7 linked regions of the Oryctolagus cuniculus genome follow. The protein of the gene in region 1 interacts with the protein of each later gene in a pairwise test. Links are inferred from orthologs where the notes say so. Each region holds a gene or a part of one and is shown in the gene's direction. Other genes may lie near its edges.

The links.
Region 2: the proteins of LZTS2 (region 1) and POLDIP3 interact in a two-hybrid assay, tested with the Homo sapiens proteins (2 studies listed by BioGRID). The two-hybrid records come from large-scale screens. The link is inferred for Oryctolagus cuniculus from reciprocal best matches to the Homo sapiens genes LZTS2 and POLDIP3.
Region 3: the proteins of LZTS2 (region 1) and KAT5 interact in binary tests that used the Homo sapiens proteins (3 or more experiments, as listed by UniProt). The two-hybrid records come from large-scale screens. The link is inferred for Oryctolagus cuniculus from reciprocal best matches to the Homo sapiens genes LZTS2 and KAT5.
Region 4: the proteins of LZTS2 (region 1) and TNIP3 interact in binary tests that used the Homo sapiens proteins (3 or more experiments, as listed by UniProt). The two-hybrid records come from large-scale screens. The link is inferred for Oryctolagus cuniculus from reciprocal best matches to the Homo sapiens genes LZTS2 and TNIP3.
Region 5: the proteins of LZTS2 (region 1) and HOXB9 interact in binary tests that used the Homo sapiens proteins (3 or more experiments, as listed by UniProt). The two-hybrid records come from large-scale screens. The link is inferred for Oryctolagus cuniculus from reciprocal best matches to the Homo sapiens genes LZTS2 and HOXB9.
Region 6: the proteins of LZTS2 (region 1) and SUV39H1 interact in binary tests that used the Homo sapiens proteins (3 or more experiments, as listed by UniProt). The two-hybrid records come from large-scale screens. The link is inferred for Oryctolagus cuniculus from reciprocal best matches to the Homo sapiens genes LZTS2 and SUV39H1.
Region 7: the proteins of LZTS2 (region 1) and STAC interact in binary tests that used the Homo sapiens proteins (3 or more experiments, as listed by UniProt). The two-hybrid records come from large-scale screens. The link is inferred for Oryctolagus cuniculus from reciprocal best matches to the Homo sapiens genes LZTS2 and STAC.

What each region holds. Positions count from the first base shown.
Region 1 is NC_091446.1:28,872,964-28,877,006, reverse strand, and holds the start of LZTS2 (leucine zipper putative tumor suppressor 2), read left to right. Parts: upstream 1-1,243; 5' UTR 1,244-1,488; intron 1,489-1,626; exon of another isoform or gene 1,627-2,351; 5' UTR 2,352-2,421; coding exon 2,422-2,472; intron 2,473-4,043. UniProt on the Homo sapiens protein: Negative regulator of katanin-mediated microtubule severing and release from the centrosome. Required for central spindle formation and the completion of cytokinesis.
Region 2 is NC_091442.1:118,371,710-118,374,645, reverse strand, and holds part of POLDIP3 (polymerase delta-interacting protein 3), read left to right. Parts: intron 1-23; coding exon 24-203; intron 204-598; coding exon 599-676; intron 677-2,211; coding exon 2,212-2,341; intron 2,342-2,737; coding exon 2,738-2,804; intron 2,805-2,936. UniProt on the Homo sapiens protein: Is involved in regulation of translation. Is preferentially associated with CBC-bound spliced mRNA-protein complexes during the pioneer round of mRNA translation. Contributes to enhanced translational efficiency of spliced over nonspliced mRNAs.
Region 3 is NC_091432.1:6,000,398-6,003,703, reverse strand, and holds the end of KAT5 (histone acetyltransferase KAT5), read left to right. Parts: intron 1-583; coding exon 584-724; intron 725-804; coding exon 805-898; intron 899-1,626; exon of another isoform or gene 1,627-1,920; coding exon 1,921-2,080; exon of another isoform or gene 2,081-2,157; coding exon 2,158-2,614; 3' UTR 2,615-2,806; downstream 2,807-3,306. Other genes in the region: RNASEH2C (ribonuclease H2 subunit C), read right to left, coding at 2,875-2,901, 3,006-3,125, 3,199-3,306. UniProt on the Homo sapiens protein: Catalytic subunit of the NuA4 histone acetyltransferase complex, a multiprotein complex involved in transcriptional activation of select genes principally by acetylation of nucleosomal histones H2A and H4.
Region 4 is NC_091439.1:44,137,664-44,141,936, forward strand, and holds the start of TNIP3 (TNFAIP3-interacting protein 3), read left to right. Parts: upstream 1-1,473; 5' UTR 1,474-1,475; coding exon 1,476-1,583; intron 1,584-4,273. UniProt on the Homo sapiens protein: Binds to zinc finger protein TNFAIP3 and inhibits NF-kappa-B activation induced by tumor necrosis factor, Toll-like receptor 4 (TLR4), interleukin-1 and 12-O-tetradecanoylphorbol-13-acetate.
Region 5 is NC_091448.1:24,915,318-24,919,617, reverse strand, and holds the start of HOXB9 (homeobox protein Hox-B9), read left to right. Parts: upstream 1-1,500; 5' UTR 1,501-1,640; intron 1,641-1,802; exon of another isoform or gene 1,803-3,029; intron 3,030-4,300. UniProt on the Homo sapiens protein: Sequence-specific transcription factor which is part of a developmental regulatory system that provides cells with specific positional identities on the anterior-posterior axis.
Region 6 is NC_091453.1:33,884,486-33,888,419, forward strand, and holds the start of SUV39H1 (histone-lysine N-methyltransferase SUV39H1), read left to right. Parts: upstream 1-1,134; 5' UTR 1,135-1,440; coding exon 1,441-1,459; intron 1,460-3,465; coding exon 3,466-3,611; intron 3,612-3,934. UniProt on the Homo sapiens protein: Histone methyltransferase that specifically trimethylates 'Lys-9' of histone H3 using monomethylated H3 'Lys-9' as substrate. Also weakly methylates histone H1 (in vitro).
Region 7 is NC_091435.1:172,772,036-172,776,147, forward strand, and holds the start of STAC (SH3 and cysteine-rich domain-containing protein), read left to right. Parts: upstream 1-1,312; 5' UTR 1,313-1,600; coding exon 1,601-1,711; intron 1,712-2,278; exon of another isoform or gene 2,279-3,093; intron 3,094-4,112. UniProt on the Homo sapiens protein: Promotes expression of the ion channel CACNA1H at the cell membrane, and thereby contributes to the regulation of channel activity.

The sequences.
Region 1 (4,043 bases):
GTGAGCCTGAGGTTGGCTGGGCTATGTTTCCCTTTCCAGGGAAAAAGAAAGAAAAACAACCCATCGAGCTAAAAATAGAGCTGAGCGCCGGCCAGGGCTGTGGCCTGGAAGGGGGGGATGCTCCTTCCTGGGGCAGAGCCCAGCTCTGGCTGGCCTTGGCCCTGCGGGGGAGGGCTGCCGTCTGGGCGAGGGAGGCCGTCCTCGCCAAGGCCAGCGGGCATCAGCTGACCTGGCCAGGTCACAGAGACCCCTAAGGAAAGGTCTGTGTGATAGAGTGCATGCAAAACACGGTGTGCAGTATGAGAAGCTGTTTGTGAGTACTGCGAGGCTGTCAGCATGTGAAAGATGCTGGGAGGTGCGAGGGCCTGCGAGTTGTTGTGAAAGACTTAATGCACAACCGGTGTGACGCGGGGCTGCGCGGGAGCTGGCCTGGGAGTGCATGGAAGGAGGCCTGGGGGACCACGTGACGGATGAAGCTCTGCGATTGCGGCTGCCCGAGACTGAATGTGGGAAAGGTCGTGTGGGTGTTAAGATGTTGTTTCCAAGAGGGTGAGCATATGCGTGACCCTGAGGAGACCGTGGAATGTTGTCTGGTGGGAAGCTGGTGTAGGCTTGGGCTGTGCCTTTCCACTGGGGAGGCCAGAAGCCGCCCTTCCCCGGGCAATGACCCTTCTCTTAGCCAGCGACTCCAAGGGAAAGTTGGGGAGTCCAGAGCCGCGCCAAGGGCAGGCCTGGGCTGGCGTCCACGGGCACGGGCTGTGGAGTGGGAGAAGACCCCCCTGGGTCGGGGGGCGAGTAGATGTGCTCTGAGAACCGACCGCCAGGTGGCGCCGCCTCCGCAGATCCTCGTGTACCGCCTCCAGCCCGCTGTGGGGTGGGCCAGGCAGGGACCTGGCCGCGGCCCCCGACTAGTGCTGGGGCGCAGGGCCCCGGCAGCCGAGGAGCGGCGGGCAGCTGACCCTCGGCTTCCCGCTCTGGACTCTGAAGCTGGAGAGTGTCTGGGGCGGGCTTCGATTAGAGAAGCGAGGGGGAGGGGCCGCCGCGCCGCGCCTTGGCCCTTTGTGCTCGAACAATGACCAGCTGCCGCTGGCCCCGGGGCCCGGCTCTGGTAGGGGGTGACCCGCCCGCCGAATCCACAGCCGACCGAGCCGTCCGACACGCAGTCACCGAGACTCGGCGGGAGGGGTCCCGCTCGCCGCCGCGCAGCCCCTGCGTGCGCCCCAGCAGACACGCGTGACGTGGGGTGCCTGCGCGTGTCCGCGCCCCGGGGCGGGGACGCCCCTCGGACCCCTCCCCCGCGCCGCCCCGCGCCGCGCCGCCCACTCGGGCCGGGAGGGGACTGGCCCGGGCCGGGTGCGCCGCCGAGGCGGAGGCGGGGCCCGGCCGGGTCGGGCCGCTCCGAGTGGCCGCGCGCGGGCCGGAGCCGGGCGGCGCGCCTGTGGAGCGCTTGGGGCGGCCCGGGGCTGAGCATGGAGCAGCGCGGCGGAGGTGAGGGGGAGGCCGGGGCCGGGAGGAGACCCGGGGTCGCCCCCAACTTCTGTGCGGCGGCGTCGGGAGGGGAGGCGGCGTTCGGCGGCCGCCGTGCTGGTGGGGGGGGGGGGTCGTCGGCTGAGTGGGGGTGGGCGGGGGGAGGGGTCCCGGCTTCCTGCCTCGGAATGGGAACTCGGATCCCAGACTTGAGCCTGCGTGACTGTTCTTGGAGTTGAGGTGGGAGGGCGACTTTCCCGAACTCCTCAGCCCCCAAAACAGGTCTGCGCGAGCTCGGAGCGCGGCCAGAGCCGTCGCTGGCCCTGGCTGAGCCCCAGCCCTCAGCCCTCCGTCCTGCCCACCGCGGCGATTACTCGGGAGAGCGAGGGGTTCCCTTTGCCCACAGCCACGGCGCATTTCTCAAAATGGAGCCTCGGCTTGCCCCTCCTTCTCAGTCGGGCTCTGAGAGCGGGAGTCCTACTGGCTGGGCCTGGCTGGCCGGCTTTCGTCGCTCTGGGTCTGGGGGGCCTTGGCCTCTTGCGGTTCCGGGGCCTGGCGCCATGGGCCGGCCTGCCTGGCTTCCTTGGCCGCCTGACCCCCGCGCCTCCCTGAGCCTTTGTCTCGGCCTTTGGCTCTTTCTCCGAGTGGGCCCATCGCCTTCCTTCAGTTTTCACTTTTCTCTGTGCTCCCTGAAGAGGAGAAATGCGGACAGAAATGCCAGCCCGCATGGCCCCCTTAGCAGCCCCTTCCCCCGTCCTGTCCGTGCCTTACGTGGCCCTGCAGAGGGAGGAGGAGGCTCCCGGGTGCCCGCGTTGCCCAGGGCTGGAGCTTGGGGTGCTGTCAGGCCCCAGCCCTGCAGCCAGGCCCACCATTGCTCCCAGCAGCTCCTCCGGCAGTCTGGACTGACACCGACCTGGTTCTTGGTGTCTTTTCACTTGGGTAGAGAGGAAAGGGATGAACTCGATGGAACACAAGCAAGAAAGAAGGGGAACAGCTCGGACAAAGGTGGTTCCCCCTCTCCCCACACTCCAGAGTGAAAACTGGCGGGTTCCCTCGCACTCCCCGGTGCCCGACATGCCTGCCCTCAGAGCCTTCTCTGTGGGTAACCCGGCTCTGGCCGGCCTGCTGTGCACACACAGGAGTTCGCGGGGGGGAACCCATGTCCTGGGTTCCTCTTCAGCATCTCAGCACACTCACCTGTTACCTGTGCATTTACTACTCCTGCGTACTTGCATGGTGACCCTTAATTACACACGCATACGTGTGAGGTTCACACGTTAGTTCACACCTAGACGGGTGTATGTATTGAACATGTCCAAACACACACTCATGTTTTCACACGCATTATTCCTGGCACGCAGTGCTCACTCTGCTGCCCCTGGGCATAAAGGCGGCCATGAAGACCTGTACACGCACACATTCCTACTCCCAGGAAGTTTTCTGTCCGCCTCCTTGGCCTGCACGTTCTGCATGATGATTTCGGCAGATGCCAGAGCCCTGGTGCTCTGCGGCCTCGGGACCGGAGGGAGTTCCCCAGGGAGGCTTGCTCTCCCCTTCCAGGAAGGAGCAGAGCCCGGGGAGGTGGTGAGGTCTTGGAGCAGCTGCCAGAAGTGATGGTGGGGCTTCCGCCTCCATCGGGGTTTCTCTGGAGATGGCGGAAGCTGGAAGCTTCTGATAGAGGTTGGAGTCGGGCAGCGCCCATGAAGGCTCCTTTAGGCCCCATGTCACACCCTGACTGGGTATGGAGAGGGTAGGGGTTGTCATAGAAACAAGCAAGTGCCTGCATCACCTCCAGGAGGCAGGTGTGTGTGCCCTGAGAGCTGTGGACTGCCTGTTTGGCCAGCTCCACCCTTGCCGCCTCTCTGTCTGGGAGAAACTGAGGCCCAATAGGGGGAGGTGGGGCGCTGCTTGGCCTTGGCTCTTTGTTCCCTAATTATTGTCTGAGTTGCTGGTGGTGTCCTTGAGGTTGTCGCTGCCCAAACTGCCCTGTAACGAGGCCACCTGTCCCAGGAGACTGGGGACCTGGGCCAGGTGCTGGGAGAGAGGGCTTCTTGCCTAACCTGAGTCCTGGTCTCCGTGGGGCTGCAGGTCTGGGTCTGGGCCTCCACTGCCAGGTGGCCCTGTGCAGGCTTCCGATCCCTTCATCTCTGCCTGGTGGCCCTGTGCAGACCAGGGAGCAGTGGTCTGGGGCCCAGAGAGAAATGAGATTCGTGCCAGTACTTGGAAGAGGAGCCTTGGGGGGGGGGGGGGGTCAGGGCGTTGTTACTCATGTCAGGAAGGCGTTTGGCCTGGATCAGGGGACAGCACAGGGACTCAAGGCCTTGTATAGGGAGAGGGTATAGGATGCTGGGATTCTTTTTGTTTTGTTTTGTTTTGACAGGCAGAGTGGACAGTGAGAGAGAGACAGAGAGAAAGGTCTTCCCTTGCCGTTGGTTTACCCTCCAATGGCCACCACGGCCGGCGCACTGCGCCTATCCGAAGGCAGGAGCCAGGTGCTTCTCCTGGTCTCCCATGGGGTGCAGGGCCCAAGCACTTGGGCCATCCTCCACTGCACTCCCAGGCCACAGCAGAGAGCT
Region 2 (2,936 bases), on another chromosome or scaffold:
TTCCTTTCTGCCCGTTTGTCTAGGCTGGGCTGAGCAGTTCCAAGTTCTCGGTGTCCAAGGCCCTCCCTCTCACCAAAGTGGTGCAGAATGACGCATATACCGCCCCCGCTCTCCCCTCCTCTGTGCGAACCAAAGCCTTGACCAGCGTGTCCCGCACGCTGGTGAACAAGGAGGAGCCCCCCAAAGAGCTGCCGCCTGCTGAGGTGAGCTGAAGGTGGCCACCCCACCCGAGAGCCTGTGCTGGGTCAGTGTGCCGTGTGAGCCCAGGCTCCTCGCATTCTCAAGACCTGGGCCCTGCCCTAAAAGAGCTTGCGGGCTAGCGGGGCCAGCAGGGAGGAGCCGCCGGCTCTGTTAGCACAGGGGTTCCCAGGAGAGAGCGCTTCCTCCCGCCGCAGCGCCTGGGGAGGGGCAGGGGGAGGGGGAGGGGGAAGCCAGTGTGAGTGCAGGGTCTGGAGGCCAGAGGAGCATTCCTGCCAGAGGCCAGGGCCCAGGGTGGTGGGCGTGTGAGGGGTGCCGGGGTCTCAGGGCGCAGTCCGAGTGCTGCTGTGTGAGAGGCCGCCTGCTCTGGCTTCTGCTGACCCTGTCGTCTGTGTGGCAGCCTGTGCTTAGCCCTTTGGAAGGCACCAAGATGACGGTCAACAACCTGCACCCCCGAGTCACCGAGGAGGACATCGTCGTAAGTACCACGGCCTGCCAGTGTCTAGGCTCCCATCAGTTCTAGGACAGAGGTCCCGGGGCCAGCCCAGGTTTCAGGGTTTGCTGGGTCTCCCAGGACTCGGCACGTAGTTGTGTCACAGCTGAGACTTACCACTCAGCACGAGGAAGGCTGTGGGTGTTGCTGGGGGAGACCAGGCGCAAGCCCCCGAGTCCTCGGCGTAGCTGCTCCCCCAGCAGCCAGCCTGTGACAGTCCCGCCTCCCAGAAGGAAGGCAGGTGTTCGCCAGAAGCTGGACTGTTGACCCAGTTCTTGGAAGCAGGCAGGCTGGCTCTGGTCACTCCTGTGCAGTGTCCACGCCCGGGCCGGTTTCCTGGCGGGGTGTCCGGGACAGGGGACGTCTGTCTGGTGGGTCCTCAGTGGGCCCTTCAGTTCTGCTGGGCAGCACCTAGTGCTTGATGCCTCTCTTGAGACTCGAACTTCCTGCCTCTTCGGGGGTTTCCTTGATGACACCATCATGTAAAAGGAGTAAGAGGGTTGGGTAGGACCTGCCGATTGACCCCTTTGAATTGCCCTTCTGTCTTGCCTGTCCTGTTGTTGCAGTCACGGCAGAACCTGGCAGGTGCCTGGTGAATGAAAGCTTCCTTTGAAAGCTCGTTCGCATGCAGACACCCCCAAAACCACTCGTTTAGCCATCCAGGCGCACTTTGAACTGTGAGATCACGAAAGGACTGCAGCTGGCCATGCAGCTGGCTGGCTGGCTCTGGAACGGGCCCTGCTGCGCACCACGGTGGTCAGTGGTCTTCACCGTGAAGTTGGCGCCGAGCTGCCTGGGCTCCCCTGCTCTGGCGGTGCGGTGAACAGTCCGTGCGGGAAGGGAAAGCTCGCCTGCTTGCCTGATGCTCGACAAATGATAGAAAATTAAACACGTTCCCGATTGCAGAAGTACTAGCCAGGCACGTGGCGTACAGGGTCTTGGAAAATGCTTCGTGGCGAGAAACTGAGCGCCTGGAAGCACCCCCACTCGGGAACGTGCCAGGAGCACTCGCTCTGCCTCCTGCTCTACCCAGTCAGGCGTCGGTGAGGTAACAGCAGGAAAACGGCTCACACCTGACATTTCAGTCTTGATATAAACGTGTTTCCTTTGGTTAAAAACAAGTTGTTCAAGGACCTGCGGGAGCCGCGCTGGTCCTGATGACAGCCTGGAGTAGGCAGTCGCAGGTGAAGAGGTGACCTGAGTGCTGGTCGGCCTCATTCATCCCTGCGTCAGCTTCCTTGTCCTGGGAGATCTCTGGCCGCACAAGACTGTGGTCGTGCTGGGTAGAACCCCAGACTCAGGTGACGCACTGACTGTTGTGTGAGCCTGCCTGCCCTCTCCCGTGACAGCTCTGGGAGAAAGGCTGTGACTGTGACGCTCTGGAGGAGGTGGTGACACGGACACCCGGACCGCCCTCCCCTGCTAGTGCGACTTGCCCCTCAGCCAGTCCTGTGTTGAGGGTGCGAGTGACAGGCCGTCAGGAATGACCTCCCGACCCCATCCCCTCTTGTTGCTTACAGGAGCTTTTCTGTGTGTGTGGAGCCCTCAAGCGGGCTCGGCTGGTCCATCCTGGGGTCGCAGAGGTGGTCTTTGTGAAGAAGGACGATGCTATCACCGCATATAAGAAGTACAACAACCGGTGTCTGGACGGTACGATGAGGGAGCGGCCTTCGCTCGCTGTGCCACAACAGGGCCCCGACTCTGCTCCTCCGCTCCCCTCTTATGCTGTTCCTGTGACGTGTATCACATCTCTCATCCCGGGGGTGAGGCCCTGAGCAGGCCCCCCTCACGGAGAGAAGTCTGAACGTGGCAGCCTGTCCTCACTCAGCTCCGCCTGTACCTGCTCTCTTACTGCTGGCTTCACAGGCGAGCAGGGCACCGCTGCCGTCTCCCACTGGCTGAGAAGCAGGATGTGTTGCCACTCTGCTTCCTGGCGCCGTCCTTGCTGAGGGTGTCTCCTGGGAGCTCCTTCGTGTCTGGCAGCCCTGTCCTTGGTGTGGGGAGCTGAGACCCAGAGCACAGCCTTTTCTTTCTTGGGTTTTGCAGGGCAGCCAATGAAGTGCAACCTTCACATGAACGGGAACGTCATCACGTCGGACCAGCCCATCCTGCTGTAAGTCCCAGAGGGGGCTGGGGTGCAGAGCTGCTCTGCCCACACACTGCTCGCCGCCGCCTCCTGATGGGGGACAGACACCTGCCTCCATCTTCCGTTCCATTCCTCTCCTGTCTAGGTGCAGCTTTGAGT
Region 3 (3,306 bases), on another chromosome or scaffold:
TAAGGCTAACTTGAGACTGGAGCGCGAGGGGGGGCGGCCCTGGCCTGCGTGCAGGGAGTTTGAGAGGCGGCAGCTGCCTACGCACCCCTCCGCGTGAAGTGTGGACTGGGCACCCGCGTGGCAGTGCGCAGGTGAGGAGCCAGGGGTGAGGTTTCTCCAGGAGTTGTGTGCAGAGGCAGTCCCCTGAGGGTGGGGGCCCTGCTGGTCCTCGGTGAAGAGGCAGAGCCCCGCCCTCCCTCGGGGAGCGGCAGGTGCAGCCGTGGGGTGAGTGGAGAGCTGGGTCTGCTGACAGCGACTCCCAGCACTGCCACACAGGGGCTCCCTCGTGTCCTGGCCGGAGACACTTCCTGCGTTCCAAACTGTACGCTGGTGTCCAGCACAGCAGGGCCAGGGAGCCGCCCCGGGCCCTGCTGAGACGGAGAAGGGGCGGGCAGCGGGGCAGACCCTCCGTCCCCAGGGAGGTAGCTGGACGCTGTCACAGCGCGCGGGCCCCAGGCAGGGACGACCCCACCCGCTGGCCTGGCCCAGGGGCCCTCTCGGGTGGCACCACCAGTGGGAACGGGCTCTCCCTCTCCCCCCGCAGAGTTACTCCCAGAACCTGTGTCTGCTGGCCAAGTGCTTCCTGGACCACAAGACGCTGTACTACGACACAGACCCCTTCCTCTTCTACGTCATGACGGAGTACGACTGCAAGGGCTTCCACATCGTGGGCTACTTCTCCAAGGTCAGCGCCTGCCCGCTGTCCCCGGGGGGCCCTGGGGTGGGCGCAGACCCTGCCCTCACGCTCGCCCACCCCTCCTGCAGGAAAAGGAGTCCACGGAAGACTACAACGTGGCCTGCATCCTCACCCTGCCCCCGTACCAGCGCCGGGGCTACGGCAAGCTGCTGATTGAGTTCAGTGAGTATGTGGCCGCCCCGCCCAGGGCCCGTGCACTGCCGCTGGTGCCTCAGGCCACACGCCCACGGCTGTCCCCCACTGTGCAGCTCAGCCAAGGGGGTCGGCCAGGAACCAAGCTGGGGTTCGCCGAGGTCTCACACTCCAGGGTGACTGCTCCCACCCCATCTTGGCCAGGGCCCCAAACCTCAGCCCACTCTCCCAGATCTGGCTGACCTGCTGCTGCCCACGGCTGTGGCATGAACCCGCACAGCTGAGCAGGAACCCAAGGGTGCCCACCCCCTCCGTGGTCCTTGCAGGCACAGCAGGTCAGGGTGGACGCTGGGACTGGCCAGTGTGCAGCAGGGGCAGGAGAGCAGACAAGCGCGACCGGCCCAGGGCCTTGCCCCTCGGGGTCTGGTGGGGCCAAAGGGGCTTGCGAGGAGCTAACTTCTCGTGGTCAGCTGGAGGAGGGCAGGGGCAGGGAGGCCTCTCTCCAGCTGGGAAGCGCTTGGTGAAGCTCCTTCCTCACCACCACGCAGCCCGCTCCATCCCAGAGCAGCTGGCGAGCCCGAGGTCCCAGCCAGAATGTGACGGACAGAGGGCGGGGTCTGCCCTGCCTCCCTCTGCACCCACACAGCAACGGCCAAGGACATGGGCACCCCCCCAGCCTCGGCTGACTGCAGGTGCCCCCCCCAGCACCCAGGCCAAGGGCGAGCGCCTTCAGGTGGTGGGCAGAGAAGCCACGTGGCTCTAATTCTTAAATGCTTTTCATTTTATTTGAAAGGCAGAGACAGGTCTGGTCAGGGGTTCACTCCCCAGTTGCCCACAGCAGGCAGGGCCGGGCCAGGCTGAAGCCAGCAGCCTGGAGCTCCGCAGGGCCCCACTGGGCGGCAGGGCCCCAGGTCCCTGGTCCGCCTGCACTGCCAGGCTGCAGGTTAGCGGGTGGAGCAGTGGGCGTCCGGCCCGGCCCCCTGCTGCAGGATGTGCCCGCTGCGATGCCACTGTCTGACCGCTTACCCACCTCTCCTGCTCCCCTGCTCCAGGCTATGAGCTCTCCAAGGTGGAAGGGAGAACGGGGACCCCAGAGAAGCCCCTGTCGGACCTGGGCCTGCTGTCCTATCGCAGTTACTGGTCCCAGACCATCCTGGAGATCCTGATGGGGCTCAAGTCCGAGAGTGGGGAGCGGCCGCAGATCACCATCAAGTGAGCCGGCCGCCCCCGGGGGTGCGTGGCTGTCCCCGCCCCGGGCCGCGGGAGACCTGACCTTTGCCCTCCCGCAGTGAGATCAGCGAGATCACCAGCATCAAGAAGGAGGACGTCATCTCCACGCTGCAGTACCTCAACCTCATCAACTACTACAAGGTGGGGCGGGCGGCCAGGGCCGGGCAGTCGGGAAGCCGGTGCGGGCCGGGCGCTGACCCCTGCCGGGCCCTCTCTCGCCCAGGGCCAGTACATCCTCACGCTGTCCGAGGACATCGTGGACGGACACGAGCGGGCAATGCTGAAGCGGCTGCTGCGCATCGACTCCAAGTGTCTGCACTTCACCCCCAAGGACTGGAGCAAGCGGGGGAAGTGGTGACCGGGCCTCCGGGCGCGGGGCCGGCGAGCACGGGACCCGGCGCCCCCAGCAGGCACAGCGCGCGAGGCGCGCAGGGCAGCGCCAGACGGGGCTGGGCCCGCAGGGGCCACGGGTCAGTGCCCAGGCCCGCCGAGGGCTCGGGTCAGCGCCCAGGCTGAGCTGGCTGCGGGCCCGGCCTGCCCTGACCAGGGACCAGGAGGAGCCGGGCGGCTTGTGCAGTGCGCAGGGGCTGGGGGCAACTGTACAGGACACTTTCACTGTAAAAATGGCTTTTGTAAAGTAGAAGGTGGGGGTGGGGTGGCCCTGGCTGCGGCCCCCGCACCAGGCAATAAATCGTTTCCGTAGGCGGAGCCTCCAGGGTTCTGCACAGCTGCGGTGCGGGGCGTACTGGTCGGCAGGTGGGGACGGGCTCCGGCTCTCAGTCCTCCGCCACCTGAGCGTGAATCTGCAAGAGGAGCCGCCTGTAACCGTGCGGGGGCCCGGCCGCCCCCACTGACCCCGTCCGGCGTGGGGGGCCCCGCGCCGCAGCGACCCCGCCCGTGCACTCACCGCGGCCGCGAGGCTCGGCCAAGTCAGGGCCCCGCGCACTTTGGCGTCCGGGCCCGGCACGGTCTCCAGGCCCCACAGCGTGAAGCGGCCGAAGCTGGCGGTGGCGCCCAGAAAGCGGTCCTGGGGAGGGAGGGAGGGAGGCGGCTCAGCCCGGCCCCGCCGCCGCGCCCGCCCCGGGCCCGCCGTGGCTCACCAAGTCCCGCTCCAGCGGCGCCCGCTCCGCGTCCCCGGACCCCGGCCGCCCGTCTGCCTTCTCGGCCGCCAGGACGTAGCCCGCGAAGCCGGCCGGCACCGCCACCTC
Region 4 (4,273 bases), on another chromosome or scaffold:
CTACACCGAGCTTCACTCTGTACCAAATGCAGGAGCCCACAACCCCTATAATGTCTCTTCCCCCTTGGGTTGCACCTCAGGGGGATGCCTGCTGAACCATTCCCCTAATGGTACAGAGGGAGCAGTTCTGAGGTTAAACATCAGCACTTGTCCAAATGAAAAGGCAAGAGTAACTCTTGGCCTCTATACACATTCCCCACTGAAGTAAACCAGAATCATCACTGCACGTGGTTATTGCTGTGCAAATTCAGTGCCTTGTAATAACGGATACTCAGTGAGTTATTGCGTAAGGAAGAACACATTCACTCATAATTCAGGTAGAGAAGAACAAGACAGCCAGGAGAGCAGTAGCAATAGAGATCAAGTGCCCATTCTGAAGCTGCTGCTATTAGTGTTCCTTGCTTAAAGATTTATGCTACAGTTTCATCAGTCTTATGGGCTTGAGGGGTTTTGCATACATTTTAGAAACACATGTAACTTAATGGTTAGGTGTTTTGAGTTAAAACTCATCATGGAACCACATTTATTTATTTATTTTAAAGGAGAAAGCACATTTTATTTTCTTTTTTTAAAGGTTTTATTTATTTATTTGAGAGGTAGAGTTACAGACAGTGAGAGGGAGAGACAGAGAGAAAGGTCTTCCGTCCGTTGGTTCACTCCCCAAATGACTGCAATGGCTGCAGCTGTGCCGATCCGAAGCCAGGAGCCAGGTGCTTCTTCCTGTTCGCTCATGCAGGTGCAGGGGCCCAAGCATTGAGCCATCTTCTACTGCCTTCCCAGGCCATAGCAGAGAGCTGGATTGGAAGAGGAGCAACTGGGACTAGAACCGGTGCCCTTATGGAAAGCTGGTGCCGCAGGCAAAGGATTAACCCACTGTGCCATGGTGCTGGCCCTCTTTTCTTTTCAAGATTTACTTATTTATTTGTAAGAGTTACAGAGAGAGTGAGAGGTCCTGCATCTACTGGTTCACTCCTCAAATGGCCACAATGGCTGGTGCTGAGCCGATCCAAAGCCAGGAGCCAGGAGCTTCCTCCGAGTCTCTCATGTGGGTTCAGGAGCCCAAGCAAGTGAAATTATAAAAATTTAGAAATGACTCTTTGAACTAGACACTAATACTAAAATATTTGAGGCGGCCTCCTTGCTAAATTGTAACAGATGATTATAGAGACAATACTTTCAGACTAAGAGTTCAAGATGAGGGGGACAAAATGAAAGGAAATTCAGCAATACTGGCTTGTCATGGTTATCCAGCTGTGAAAATCTCTATTGTTGTCTGTTTTTCACTTTGTGCCAGTGAGTGCTTTTATGGTATGGGCTAAATGAAACAAATTGTGGTCTGAGTTTGGGAGATTCTAGAGAAGGATCCTGCATGAATAACACCTCCATGTTATTCATAAAGTTGCTGTACCCTGGAATGATTTTTCATTGCCTTTGTAAACTGTAACTTTCCCATTCTCCTGGACAGATGTGAAAGCATGGAGCTGGACAATGAAATCCGGGACCTGATTGAGAGAAGTGCTCCTGATCCAAAAGGGGTCACCCCAGAGGCCACGCCTCATCACAGAAACCCATGTTCTCCCAAGGTAAGGAAACCCGGCCTGTGTATTTTGTGTGATATGTTCTGCAGCCATCTGTTCACCAGGAACTTACGGGGACAGTCCCCACATCATTTACAGTCATTCATGTACTTCCTTGACGACGGAGAGGATCAAGTGAAGCAGAATAAAACTCCTCTCAACAGTCACTTCCTGTTGCCAAAGAAAGCCTCTGGCAGAAGAAGCTTTCCAGTCTGCCATGGCAGGCAGCTGTGGCCACAAAGGCCATAGGAAAAAAAATGCTCCACGCAGTGACAACTCTTTCGGACGGGGTGACCAAATTTAAGCAAATCCATTTAAATTGGGTTACCCAAACCAGCACAACTCATGTCCATGCTTTTTTGGAGTCATTGTTTCTGTTTTGTTTTGAAAGAAAAAAAAAAGCTTTACTGATTAAAGGAGTTGTTTGAATTTCCTCTTGTTTCGGGGTATTTGTCTATGGTGGTTTTATGTAAGCAAATAAAATTCAAGGGGAAGCTTGAGGAAGAAATTTTGTGGATACAAAATGCATCTTTCTAGAAATGTATCAAAAATGACAAAATGAACTCTTAAGCTCTGTAATTCTCCCAGTTAGAAACCATTTTTCATGATCTTTACAAAACATCTGATGAGAGTTTATTTGAGAGCATGGCTGACATTAACAATTACTTACTCCTTCTCTTTAAAATGCCATTAGTTCTTTCTAAGGTAACCATGTTCATTGTATGAAATATGTATACATAAATACAGACAAAATATAAAAATCATATAGAGAAGGATTTACTGTGGAGATAATTGAACTTGGGCTCCCCTAAATAAATAATTACCCTTATAATTAAGTTACATCCATAAACTTGTATCTTTTTCTTGTAAAGGAGGCCCCATAATTGTATAAACATCAGCACTCACTAAACATAGATCTGTCTCAGAAATCCCCAGATGTGCCACTTCTAGAGAGCATCTCTAACACTTGGGTGTCTTCCTGTGTTTTCCTTACACACACACCTGTTTATTCAAATACCTTTTCTTTTTTCAGTTTAATAATACACTGTGGATACTCCCATACCTCTGTCTGTCATTCATGTAGTGGATAATCAGTATTGTATGCCTTCTTAGACCTTTAGATAGTTTTCCTGTCTAAAAACTCATTTCTGCCTTAAAATGCTATTATGTTTTATTTTTTTCTTTAAACTTACAAATCAACATCTGCTAATGGCTAGGACTTCAAAGGCTTCTTCCTCTCCTTTCCTCCATCTCCTCTCACCCCAAACTCCATGGTATCTACCTCTAATTCACAACTGGAATTCTTTACTTCATCAAATGTGTGCTTTCTCCAGTGGGCTTCCTATCCAATGCCACAAAGAAATTCATGGTGATAATTTTATTCCTTCTAGTATCGTTATGCTCATAGTCTCTGGTTATCTCCTGAGTCTTATTTGCTCATGACTGAACTTCCTTACAAGTCTTTCACTCAGTCTTGAGAATCCTTCCTGACATGATAAAAGCATGCTTACTTATACATACTTATCACCATCCTCTTGGTATTAATCAGTTTTGTTACTCTGGGAACTTCACTGAAACGCATCTTCCTCTAAGATGCTTCTACTCCTATTACCTCATTTGTGAAGGTTGTCCATTCTCCTACCTCCACATTTCCAGGTAAAAAGCAGCAGAATCTTAGCTGGCATTCTCAGTTTTCCTGGTGAACTCTAAGGTAAAAGCTTCTACAGAGGGTAAGAGGTAAGGAAAGTTGGAAACACATAGAATGTCATTGGAAACAGAAGAGATAAATAAAACTAAAATGAGTTGTGCTGAGTAGTAGTGAGGGCCACATTTGAAACCATCCCTTATGACAAAACCACTTGCTGAACAACATCGGGGTTCCTATATCTTTAAAGTCTTCATCACCTCTCTCCATCTTAAAATACACTCAATTCTCCTCTACTTTTCAACAGATATTATGAGACCCCATAGTACTTTAAGAGTAATATTATAACTCACTTTTGCATATCATAGCTCAGCTTATTGGACACAGCAACCAAGATTTTCCCTAACCCATCACACCACTAATAACCTCTACTTTGAACAATTGAATAATCACTCTGCATCTTATTTTTCCCTTGTCCACTCATTTGTATCTGATGCTATCCACTAATTCATCTTTCTTAAAATGTCTTTCTCAACTGACATCTATAATTTTAACCCCTGAAATCCCCACACACATATATATCATTTTTTCCTCTGTTCTCTCCTTCTCACTCACCCTCACTGGCTTTCCTTATATCACCTGTTGTGTTACATTAGTTTTGTTGACAAATCTGTCTATAGCCCTTGAATTATTTTTTTAAAGATTTATTTCTTTATTTGAAAGTCAGAGTTATACAGAGAGAGGAGGAGAGGCAGAAAGAAAGAGAAAGAGAAAGAGAAAGAGAAAGAGAAAGAGAAAGAGAAAGAGAAAGAGAAAGAGAAAGAGAAAGAGAAAGAGAAAGAGAAAGAGAGAAGTCTTCCATCCTCTGGTTCACTCCCCAATTGGCCACAACAGCCAGAGCTGCACAGATCCGAAGCCAGGAGCCAGGAGCTTCCTCCAGGTCTCCCACGTGGGTTCAGGGGCCCAGGGACTTGGGCCATCTTCTACTGTTTTCTGAGGCCATATCAGAGAGCTAGATTGGAAGTGGAGCAGCCAGGACTTGAACTGGCAC
Region 5 (4,300 bases), on another chromosome or scaffold:
GAGTGAACCAGCAGATGGAGGACCTCTCTCCCTCTCTCTCTGTGTAGCTCTTTCAAATAAATAAATCCTTTAAAAAATAAGTAAACAAATAAGTATACTTAAAAGGTGTAAAACAGACTCACTCACAGAAGCAAAATTTGATTTTCTCCTATTTCTGTATTCACATGGAGAGACCTTTCTCTAGCGGCTCAAACTCAGCAGAACTTACAAAAGGGAGGATGTTACAGAAGCCAAGCATAGATCCCTCAGTCTGCTCCCATTCTACAGAGGAAAACAACAAAAACCCCAGACCTAAAGGGCAGAAGGTGTGGAGGCCAGGGTCCACAGTGAGCTCGAGGCGGAACCAGGCCCAGAGCACAGATCTCAATGCTACCCGCTGGGGACAATCTCTTGCAGGAAGGCACCGGATTCTGAGCAGGCCCCCAGGTCCACGCTACAGAGGTGGGGCAGGCGGGTAGCTCCTGGCCAGCGGGAAGTCCTGTTGCTGGGACTCCGGCTACCTGTCACAGCTGCACGATTGTAGGTGCGCTGGCACCTCGGTTCGGGTCTCAGGAGAAAGAGAGGGAAGAGCCGGCGATGTGGATTCCACTCCAGGAACTCGAAGGGCCAACACGCAAAGAGGCCCCAGGGCCGAGGTGGAAAGTGGAACCTCCTAGCCTTCTTTTGACCTTGACCAAGGTCGTTCCCTCTGGCCTCCTTGGTCCGGTTCGTTCCATAGGGAAGAACCCCGTTTCGGGCTCAGGGAAATGAAGAGAGAAGGCAGGTAGATGGGCAGTCTGCAGCCTGGGGCCGTCCTCCGGCCAGGAATGGTCCCCAGCAGGGAGCCGCCGTGGAGGGCGGGAAGCCGCGGGGCTGCAGCCTGAGGGGGGGGTGGGGAGGGACGGAGGAGGGTCCCGCGCTCTCGGCCTCCTGGTTCCCCTCCCTCCCCTTCTCAGGTTCCTCTGGCCTCGCCCCTCCCTCTCGCATTCCCAACTCCCAAGGACAACTTGTCGCTCGCCTCAGACGCCCGCCAGGGGCTTGTACCGGTGCCCCAGACTCTGCTGGCTCCCCGGCTTCTTTTGTCTATTTCTGCATTGGACGGTTCTCCTGGCTCCGCGTTCCGTGGTTCTGCTTCTCATCTCTCTCTCTCTCTTTCTCTCTCTCTCTCTCTCTCTCTCTCTCACACACACACACACACACACACACCCTTCTCTCTCCCGCCCACCTCGGCGCGTTCCTCCTCGGCTCTGGCCTTGCCCAAGCGCGCAAGGCCCACCCTCGGAATCGCCTGCCCGCCCTCCGGCGCGGTGATCCGACGGCGCCCGGGGCGGGGGCAGGTGAGGTGGCGGGGAGCCCCGCCCGGGCCGACGCGGAGGACCGAAGCGGCCGCGCCAATCCGCCGCCCAGGCCCTGTCCTCGCCCCCTCCCCGCGCCGGCGCCAGGGGGACGCAGGACGCGTGAGCCCCTTCGCGCCCCCAGCGCCGTCGGCGGCGCCGCCCTAGACGCAGACACTGCCCCAAGAGGCCTCAAAGGGGCAGGGGCGGGAGGAGCGGCGACTTCGAGCCCCCACGCCCCTCGCCCCGGGCGCCGCCACCTCCGTCTCCAGGCGCCTGGGTTCCTGCAGGCTGTGAAGAAGCGCGGAGGACGCGCGGTTGGCAGAGGTAGGTGAGGCGCTCCCCGCCCTTCCCCTCCCCGCTGCGGGCCGCGACCACGCAGATCCGAGCTGTGACCCGCCCCTCTCCAAGCCGGGCAGCCTCGTGGCCTCGCCTTTGAGGACGGAACGGCCGTGGCGGCCGTGGGCTACCTGGGGTCACCAGCCTAACCTTGAGCTCCAGGCCGACTGAGCTGCGCGGGTGGCGCCCGCCTTGGCCTTCTTGGCCGCCTGCGCGTCGCGGGCCCCGACTGTTCAAGCGAAGGTGTGCACGGGGGAAGGGAGTCGCCTCCTCTCCGTCCGCCCGCTACTGTAGCTCCCTAGAGGCCGGTGCTGAGTGCTCCGCCCAACCTCAGGCCCTCTCCGCCCGGTCCTTTCGCTCACAACCCCGGATCCAAGCGAGTGTAGCCTGGGAGACGGGAGGTGGGGATCGCTCTTTCCCGATAGAATGTGGAAATTGGCTGGAACTCTGGGCCCAGAGGGAGCCAGCCCCCAGGTCCCCACGGTGCAGAATCTGCTCAGAGAGAGGAGAGAAGAATGCTTGGGGGAAATATTTTGCTTTGGATTTTTAGGGCGACACGGGGCCTTAGCTTTCCTTCCCCTCGGACTGGGAGGGGCTCCGGTGGCCTCCTTCCTGGCAGAGCCTTTATCAGGGTGTGACGGGGTGCCAGGCGCCGCCATCTTAACTGGAAATCCAGGCTCACAGAGGCGCTGCCTGTGCATTTATGTAGCCGGGCCTGTTGTTGCGAGGCAGGGAAAGGAACTCAACCTGGTTGCCGGGACTCACGGGTCCCAAAGAGTGGGCACCGGGCCTGGGGGTGTTGTGAGGGCTCTGAGAAATTAGAAATCTGCAGAAATCTGCCCATGAAGAATCCTTTAGGACAGCGACTGGGACTGGGAGTGGCTAAGCACCTTGTCATGATGGTGGATTCTTACAGACATGCGAAAGAGACGTGGCATGCTGTGCTCCCGAGTGTGCCGTGGTGACGGTGGCAGGCAGGAAACCCCCGTTTTCCTCCGTGTGTCACCTCCTCTTCCCGCAGACTGGGGCACCGCGCAGTCCGCATACCCCGCATACCATGGAGGTGGCCGCGCCTGGAACAGGGCTGTGCCTCCCAGGATAAACAGAAGCACAAAGACAGGCCGGGTCCCGGGTGAGAGGGCTGCTCCCGGGCCTTTGGAGGAAGTCCGGGGACAGTGTGCTAGGAGCTGCCCTCCACACGGCCCTTCTAGGGCTGCAGCTCCTCCCTTTCCCCAGAATCTGCAGCACTGGGCTCCAAGTCCAGAGAGGCCTCTTCACGAAGGGGTCAAGTCTCCCCCATGCCCAGCCATCCCGTCTTCTGCTCCCTGCAAGACTTAGAGCCCCCAGCATAGGCGCAGCACGCACAGCGCCCTGGAAGGAACTCAGGGAACAGCTCTGCTGCCCACCCCCCCCCCCCCAGGCAGGAGGAGCAGGGAGAGCTCACCGGCCCTTAGAGAGGAGCCGGGACCCCCTCCCCCCACCTCAGATCATGGTCAGCTCTACCTCACCACCACAAAGGCACTGACCTCGGAGGGCGGTGGGAGCAGCCAGTGGGCTGGGAACACCTCCTGCTCTAAACTTCTCTCCCTGGCCACATTGAAACCCACATCAGGCTTCAGGAGCTGTTGGGTTAGCAAGAGAACTTGGTTACTTTAATCTCCTTCACCCTCTGCACACACAGAAAGAAAGAAAATCCGGACTCTTCTGGGCATGGTGGTGGGGGGGTGTCTTGTGGCAGCTCCAGCTGCAGTCTGTGGTACTGGCGGGGATCTGGGACCAGCACCCACAGCTGCACTGGCTACCACCAAGGCATCAGAGTAGGCTTAGCGGTGAATCGATGCCACAGCCCTTGGTTCACCCCTAAGATCCAGTGGCACCCACTTCCTCAAAAGGAGCTCAAGATGTGAGGTTTCTGTAGTTTTCAAAATGGGGGAAGAAACAATTGCTGCAGTGTTTGGAGTGGTTAGTATGGAGAAGTCTGTATTTGGGCCAGGAGCCCTGGGCGTACAGGGAAAGAGATCCTGAGTGGTTGGGACAAGTCTGGCCACTCGTGAACGTTGGCCTGTGGCAGGCTTGGTTTTGGCCCTGCAAAGTGGGGAAGGTTGGATTCTTCACCTGTTGGGGATGAGACCAGGGCACTGGAGGTCTACTCCTATCTCCTGCCTGTCTGCTCCCAAGGGCTCCAGAACCCTCTCTGTACCGAAACAATCAGGAACAGTTGGAAGAAAGGGAAAAAGCTGGAAGCATCCAGAATTGGATGCCTCCTGAACGCAATAGGGAAAAACCTATCTCCTTGGCCACTGTGCAAGTTCTAAGTTCCCACTCAGTTTGGCAACGTGCAGCAGGCAGAGTCTCAGAGCTCCCTGGAACCACAGCCCAGTGTCCCCCCCCCCCAAGCTGGCCAGAAGGACGAGGGCCTCACTTCTTCCCCCTGCCTCCCCTTGGCTGCCTTCCGCTTGCTGTGAAAGCCCGCAATGTCAGACTCCTTGAGCCTCAGGTTAGGACGCCTTCTCAAGTGGACAGGTGAGAGGAGTTTGTGAGACTGAGCACGGTCAGCCAGTGCAGGTCTTCACCGCTTTCTCCCTGCAGGGCTCTCTTAGTGCTTGCCAGGTCAGGGCCTCACCCCTGCCCTTAAAGCAAAGGGCCCA
Region 6 (3,934 bases), on another chromosome or scaffold:
CTGTTCTAGAATAGGGCTAGGGGACTGAGGTAGGACTTAGCTAAGCCCTTGACTGTTGAATTCGTGGCAGGCAGGGTAGAATGCCAGACAGGTTAGCCATGTTCCAGCCAGCTCACAGCTGGCCTGGTAGGCAGATGGAATATCTGTTGAATTAACTGCATGACTGTTTGGTGCACTATGTAACACGGGGACTAAGAGGGAGAGGAGCCACAGGAATCAGGCCTGGCCTGAGGGAATGGAGATACCAGATCTGCCACCAACGGTCCACCTCCACTGAATCACGGCACACTCAAGGGCCTGGCTCCATGCTCTGCTGGCTGACCTGTCACCCTCTAGATGCTGAGATCAGTGGGCTACTGACTACGATGAGAGGCAGGTGGAATGGGTCACAGGGCAGCTGGCCAGCAGCAAGACCGACATAGCTGCTTGCCTCGATGGTTCTATGTGGTTATGGACCGTGCGCCCTAACAGGATGCCAGCCTCTCCCAGGGGTCCAGAGAAGCAGAGGGCAGTGACAGGTTTGAAGGACCCATGGTCCGTTGCCTGAGGCTGAGATGAGTCGCCGGGGAAAGGCCAGGCTGGCTGAGCCAATGACAGGTGGCATGGAAACATAATTGTCCCTCTAGTTGCTATGGCTCTGCTCTGGGGCCTAGCTGGGTGGTGTGCGTGGGGTGTAACCAACGGCAGCTTGTCCTGACCTAATCACAGCCTGCCTGCCTGCCTGCCTGAGGCCAAGGCTGGATGCTGGAGCTGATGAGAGGATCTACCTAGGAGCTGGTCCCTGGGCAAGGGCTGCTTGACTGGCCCGCGCCATTGCATTGCGGGGACCGTCTGCGGGAAGGGCAGCCTCGCTAACAGCTGGGTGCCTGCCTCCAGGGAGTCGCAGCTGGCCCAAGGCACAAATGGATGCTGCCATTGACTGACAGAGCATGTGAAGGAGGCGGGGCCTGGCGAGACACCTGCCTGGGGAGACTGACCCATCGCCTATTTGAATAGGACAACTGACTGGGCAGCTGTCCGTGGCGCTGCTCCACGCTGGGTCACGGCCTGCTTGGGGTTAAAATGTGGTGACGGACTGACTGACGGAGGTAATTGGGGGTCTGACAGGACGGAGAATCCCCCGTACGACTGGCTGACAACGTGATTGGCTACCAGCGTGACAGACAGACCGGCGAACGGGCAGGGCCTCGGGCACCCTCAGCTACCGCTACCGCCGCCGCCGCCGCCGCCCAGACGCACTCTGGGAAAGCGCGGCGAGCACCCGCCTCCGGGACCGAGCCGGGTGGCGGGGAGGGGTCCGGTCACGGCTCGCCGGTTGGTCCTCGCCGGTGCTGCTCGCGGGGAGGCGCGGCCAATAGGCTGCGCGTTCCCGGCCACGCCCGCGCGAGCTCTCTTCTCGCGAGGCCGGCTAGGCCCGAATGTCGTTAGCCGTGGGGAAAGATGGCGGAAAATTTAAAAGGTGAAGCAGTGGCGGCAGAGGCGCGGGTTCGCTGGCCGGGCCGGGTGGGCTGGAGGGGTGGCGTCGCGGGCTCGGGGTCCTGGCGTCCAAGGCCACGGAGCCCGGAGCCGGAAACCCGGCGCAGAAAGGAAGGGGCTCGGGGAGCGCGGGCCTGGTGCGCGGGGCTGGGCGGGGCTGAGGGGAGGGGGCGCGCTCCTCGGAACGCGGTGGCCGCGGGGCTAAGTGGGGACGCGGGAGAGGGGCGCGCGCGTTGCAGATCACGACCGGAGCGGCGCGCGCACGCGCAGGGGCTTGTCGGGGAGGCCTCGCCCGCGCGCGGGAAAACCGGCCCCCGGTGACCGTTACCCCTACGGTGTCCACGCGAGACGCCGGAAGGGGAGGGAAAAGAAGCGGGGACGGACCCCCAAGGGGGCTCTTCAAGAGAGAGGGTTCCTCCAGCTGAGGGGAATAGGAGCTTCCCTCTTGGGAGAGCCGGACTCCCCCATGTGCAAGGAAAGCGGGGTGACCATGTTGGGGGAGCTCCTCTATGTGCGGACAGCTGCGAGGAGTGTGCGTTCCACAAGTGGGAGGGGGACCTCTGCGAGGCAGGAGAGCCCAGTTGTGGTCCGCGCCTGAGCCCGTGGCAGGAGGTGTTAACAGGGACCACTTGCGAGGGTTGGAGGGGGGGCGGATTTCACGTGTATGCGAGGGGATTGCATCGCAAGGAGAGGAAAGCGTGGGCCCAGGCTTAGAGTCTCCACTAGGCCTTGCCTAGGGGGTGGGGGGAGCCCACGGAATAATTACGAAAAGCTCTTGTACATTTCTAGATTGACATCTAGGCTATTTCGTCATAAGTTTAAATAGGCTGGAGTTTTGTAATGGCAGGCAGGTAGCAAATATTAGACAGTTTTGAAAGACGAAGTGGGGACGTGGAGTTGAAGTGCTCTGTGACATGCTTTGATAAAATGGCTTCTAAAGCATATTAATTAAGAAGGTGCCTTGCATCAGAAAGAAGGATACATTGTTTTTAAAAATCCGTCTTGAATGATCTTGGTAGCCCCAGAAAGATTCCAGGTATGTTTCAAAGAATGGATGTCACTAACCTATATTGCTTTGCCTGTTGCTGACTTCAGAGCGGTTTCACCTTTCACAGAAATGTGATTGAGACAGAAAGTCAGAATGCAGTGTGGAAGAAACAAACTTTGTAGGTTTAAAGTCCCCAGACTAACCATTCAAGGAAGCTTCCTGTAACATAGTATCATTCCACAGTCCTGTAGTCATCATTCCAAAATCTGAGTGCTGAAAGCTTTTTCTTAAATTTGGCACCATTCATGGCAAAAGGAGATTGATTATAAGGTCGGACTGTCCAGTGAGGTTACCTTATCTTACATCTTTATTTCAACTACTTAATGTGAACCTTTGCACTTTTGCTACAGAGCGATCAGTGCACTTGATTATGGCTTGATGTGCCTGTCCAGGCTGGGAGTGTTTGCACATGGACAGGACATACCTAGAGCTACACTTCTAAAATCCAAAAAAATGCTGAATTCTAAAACTCATCCAGCCCAGGAGCTTCAGATAAGGGGTTGAGGACCAGTCTTTCCAGTTATGCCTTTGTTTGGTGCCCTGGAGGTTTTAATCCCCTCCCCTCCCCACCCCCTCCCTGGGCAATGCACCCTACTGAGATGGGGGGGGTTGTCCCTTTCTTTTGCAAAGTGGAAAGAAAGGTGATCCAGAACCTAGGTTGTTTTAGGACTGGTGTAGAGGGAGTCTGAAGGTCTGGGAAGATTCCTTTAGGCCAATCCCTATAGCAAATGGCACTTGGCGGCACTTTGAAGTTCACTGCCCCAGGGGTAGCCTTGGGCAGTAAGCACTGAGGTTCCCTGGAGTGGCTGTTGCAGAATTTTCCACTTTGGGGAAGACCTGTGGGGTCAATTTCACTACGTCTGGGGTAGCCCAGAGAGGATTTGGAGCCCCTGGCCAGGTCAGGCTGCCCAGTAATGATTCTTTCCGCCTTGTCGTTCCAGGCTGCAGTGTGTGTTGCAAGTCTTCTTGGAATCAACTGCAGGACCTGTGCCGCCTGGCCAAGCTCTCCTGTCCTGCCCTTGGCATCTCTAAGAGGAACCTCTATGATTTTGAAGTCGAGTACCTGTGTGATTACAAGAAGATCCGCGTGAGTCTGCAGTGACCGGGCCCTAGGGGAAGGGGGTAGATCTTGGGAAGTTGGCTTCCTACTGGGTCATGTTCCCGCCACCCCCCCCAATCTGTGCCTAAAAGGGAAATTTCTCTTCTGATCCTGAAAAACTAGGATGAGTAGCCTCTCTCCCCTCCCCATTTTACAGGTAGGAAAACTAAGTGGCTTTCTGAGGGGGCAGAAGCCAGAATGAATCCCCAAGTAAATGTCTCATGCCACGTCCCTAGGAAGGTAAACCAATCGCGGAGACTGAGATGCTAAGCCCAGGAGTGAGCTGGTGATAGCTAATGGTCACTGGGCAC
Region 7 (4,112 bases), on another chromosome or scaffold:
GAGAAACTTGATTAATACTCTTGAGTGTTTGTCACCAGACCCAAGTACCAGAACAGATTTAATCTATGCTGCACATTAGTCTCCAGCACACCGTCTCACAAAGAATCAGATGCTTGATAAAGATATGTGGATATTACTGCTCCTGTCATCACACGCTCTGATCACCACCGTTTGTCTCTGTTTAGCAGTGCTGTGACCACTTGGGGTAGCCAATCTCGCCCGGTTAAATGAGAGGCTAAGAGTCAGCATGGAATTTAGAGTACTCCGGGAGACAAACGCCCAGTAAGAGGCTGCCACTTAGAAGAGCAGCTCTTGGTTCCTGTCTGGGACTGAGAGAGTAGTCAGTTCTTTCCAAAGACACAAGCCAGGGCAGGCGTGCAGGACCAGACACACTCCGCAGAGCCCAGCGCAAAATAAAAATGCAGCTCCCTGTTGGAATGAATTAGAGAATTTCAAGATGGTATCATCTGAGTCATGAACCCAGGGCAGGACTGTGTCACTGCACAGGTTGCACACCCCTGAGGCTGGCACCTACAGTTAACCAAGAAAATCTAAACATTAGCTTGCGATTTGCTGTTAGAAAACGAAGGCGGGAGTTTTGTTGTATTAATGGGGGGGGGGGGCTAATTATCCTGCTGTACTTCCTTCTCTTACACACAGAGGCTGTGTCTTGACAGGAAACCGCCCCTCTGTACCCGTATCCAGTGGGCCTGTCCCTGTGTCTCCAGATTTCCTAAGTGTGGATATGAAGGAAAATCCCAACTCCACCAATTGCAGTTTAGCGACATAGCAAATCCCTTAGCCTCCCTAAAACTTCGGTTTCCTCACCTAAAAAGCAGAGGTGATACTACCCACCCCAGACAGTAAGTAGCTGTGGTACTGATGCTTCAATAAGGCAAGAACATGTGCCAATGCACAGCGCGCCCCGGAGCAGGTGTCCACGCAGGGTCAGAGCTGAGCCGGGGAACCCCGCTCAGCCCCTGCGCCGTCACTGAACCCTATAAATAGCTCCGCTAAGTCACCATCTCGCTCGCTCACTCACTCCGAGGCGAGGGCTGAGCCGGCTGCTGCAGGTGGTCCCTCCTGCTCGCATCATTGATGGCTTTTCTATTCATGGGCGTCTGCCTCTGAATTGCCTGCCATCCCAGCGGAAGAGACACCCCCCGGCCGGAGCCAGCGCGCGCCCAGCCTCGGCGCAGAGTCCCGGGGTGGGGGGGTGCGCCCCGCCTGCCCTCGCCACTCCCGCGGTGGCCGCGCGGCCCCGCCCCGGAGCCGCCCCCTGCCGCCCCCTCCCTGGGCGGGCGAGCCCCAGGCCGCTCGCCCGCCCGCCCGCCCGCCGCTGGCTGGGTGGCAGTCACGACAGAGCGCGGTCGCCGGCGAGGTGGGCGCGGGCGCGGCGGGGAGCGCGGGAGCGCCCAGGACGTGGGCAGGGCCCCGGGCGGGGGCGCGGCCGGAGGAGGGCACGTCGGCGCCTCGGCGAGGATGGGAGTCCCCGGCACCCGCGGCTGAGCGAGCGGGCGGGCGCGCGGCGGGCAGTGCGCACGAGGAGGGCGAGCCTGCTGTTCCCCCGGGAGCCCAACACCGTTCCCGCGCGGCCACGATGATCCCTCCGAGCGGCGCCCGCGAGGACGGCGTGGACGGGCTGCCCAAGGAGCCGGCGAGCGCCCAGCAGCCGCCCTCTCCCGCGTCCACCAGCAGCCAGGAATCCAAGGTACCGCGCACACTTGCCCCGAAAGAACCCAAACTCACTCTCCCCTCCCTCTCCCCAGCCACCTTAGCCTCCTCCGACCCGGCGCGGGCGTCCGGGCTCAGACAGGTCCCTAGTTGGGCCGGGGCTGCAGGACCTGAGACCTGCACAGGGCTCCCTGTGAACCACCCCGGACCGCATCCCCGGGGCCCCCAGCCTCCTGGCGCGCGCAGACCGGAGCCGAGCACACGCAGCAGCTCCCGTTGACTCCGGGTGCACAGATCCATTTCTTGGGGGTTTCGGGGGATTCTGTGCTTTGAACCTGCTTGTAGCCAAAGCGTGTGTAGGTGGGTGTTAGGCGGTGGCTCCTGGAGGCTAAGGGGTGGAGACGGCCGAGGGTACTGGGCCAGCCAAGGGTGTCGGAATCCCAAGGGGCTCGGAACAGGACTCATCCCTAACATCCCTAACTTTCGTTGCTGCTGGTTTCAAAAAAAAAAAAAAAAAAAAAAAAAAAACTAGGCAGAAGGAAGTAGTGCGTTCTCGAGAAAGTTGATGTTCCTTGTGGAAGTTGATAGGACTCCAAGAACTCACCCTTGCACGGCAGTGAAGGCTAACACATGCGCACGACACCAACCCTGCCGCAGTCCTTCTCTGTCACTATTCTGCTTCCTCTGAAGCTCGCTGGGTGCCAGGCACATGTTTGGAAATCTTGGAAGAGGATCAAGTAAAATGTGGCTGCTCGCGGTGTGGTGCCGAATGACAACTCAGCCTGGAGTGGAAATCGTAAGATGGAGCTGGCCGGTTACGGGCAGCGTCGGGAGTGCCGGGCTGCTGGCCGGGGGAGGACAGGTTGCTCTGCACTGTGAGGCAGTCTCCGAGGAGCAGAAAAGGCAAGGTGGATGGCAGTGTAGAGCGCAGGTCACTAGGGGCAAGGAAAGGCCAGCGGTGTCTCCAGGTCCTGCAGCCTCAGTGGCTCTGCGAGGCCGTGTGATGCTGACTTGGTTCCCTGCATCCCCTGAAGTTACTCAGCCACAGTAAGCCGACTCGGAAAGCATTGCATTTTTTTAAATTTCTTCTTTTTCTGGCTATTACTGGCTGTCTGACTCCAGGACATGTGTATGTCAGATTTCCCCAAACTCAGTTGCAAATGAGGACAGAAGCCCCCAGCTTCCAGAATCCTCGTGAGGAACAGGTGAGATGAGCCCGTGTCCATCCATCAGTGTGTATCCTTTTCCTTCTGATGCCAGGAGATGCAATCCACTCCAAAGCAGTGGCACCACCCTCACGGGCACACCCTTTCTTGCTTCTGGAAGTTTCTAGGTGTCTCAGTGTCTACCGTGGAGCACCCGTCAGTCCCTGAAGTGATGTGAGTTGTAGTGGCCATTGCAAAGGTGGTCTGCAAAGAACTCAAGGGTGAAAGTGGTGTTAGACTTTTTGAACTGGGACTGTCGCTCAGCAGTAGGTGTGTTCTGAAAAGGGCTTAGCATTTGGGTAGCAGCGGCATGGTTCAGACACCCCGCATGAGTCTGCTATTTATAGATGTCCTGAGGTACAGTATTTGGCAAAGCAAACGCCTCCTATGTAATGCCCATAATGAGCCACCAGTTTATCCGAATTGTGGTGTTGGATATGCGCAGGCCAGTGTTTTCTCCACGTGGTCTACACAACTCCTGTATAGTTTACACATTCCTAAATTTGCTGTCATGGCTTTGATATTAGTGTAGATGAGCTACGGGGGGCACATGAGCCCCAGGAAATGGAATGCAAAATCGTGCGCCTGGATGTGAATTTTTCTTGGCTGAGCATTCAAGATATTCTCAGAGGGAGCCATGCCTCTCGAGAGAGGCTTACATGCTGTGTGGCAGAAGGTGCAGGGTGGTATGCAACAGGGGGCAGAGGAAGGCTCTATTCGTTCTGTGCGAGGAAGGCCATGTTTTGAAGCTTGGTGGCATTTATGAAGATCCAGGTGAGGAAATGTGAACAAGAGAGTGGTCATCATTCCAGCCTCCTCTCCTGGCAAATGGCCATGTTTGTCAAAGTACATACCCTTCAAGATAACCGCAAGTGAATTCTGAATGTGTCACCACAAAAAATGGCAAGTGAGTGATGGGATGGCTATGTTAATTAGCCCAAATTATTTAATCATTCTACATTGTACACCTATATCAAAACATAAATGTGATTTAATTATGATTTGCCAGTTAAAGGGACAGGCATCATTCACGCCCTACTGGGCATTAAACTTTCTCAATGTTTTTTAATTTCTTACTTTCTTTAGAAATTTTTCCTTGTGTAGATAACACTTTGTAGATATTTGAAAAGTCCAGATGACAATGAAAAAATTATAGCGTTTTGATATAGAACTCATGTATGTTTTCCTCCACACTTACGTTTACATAGTTGGGAGAACCACAGTGAGCACCTG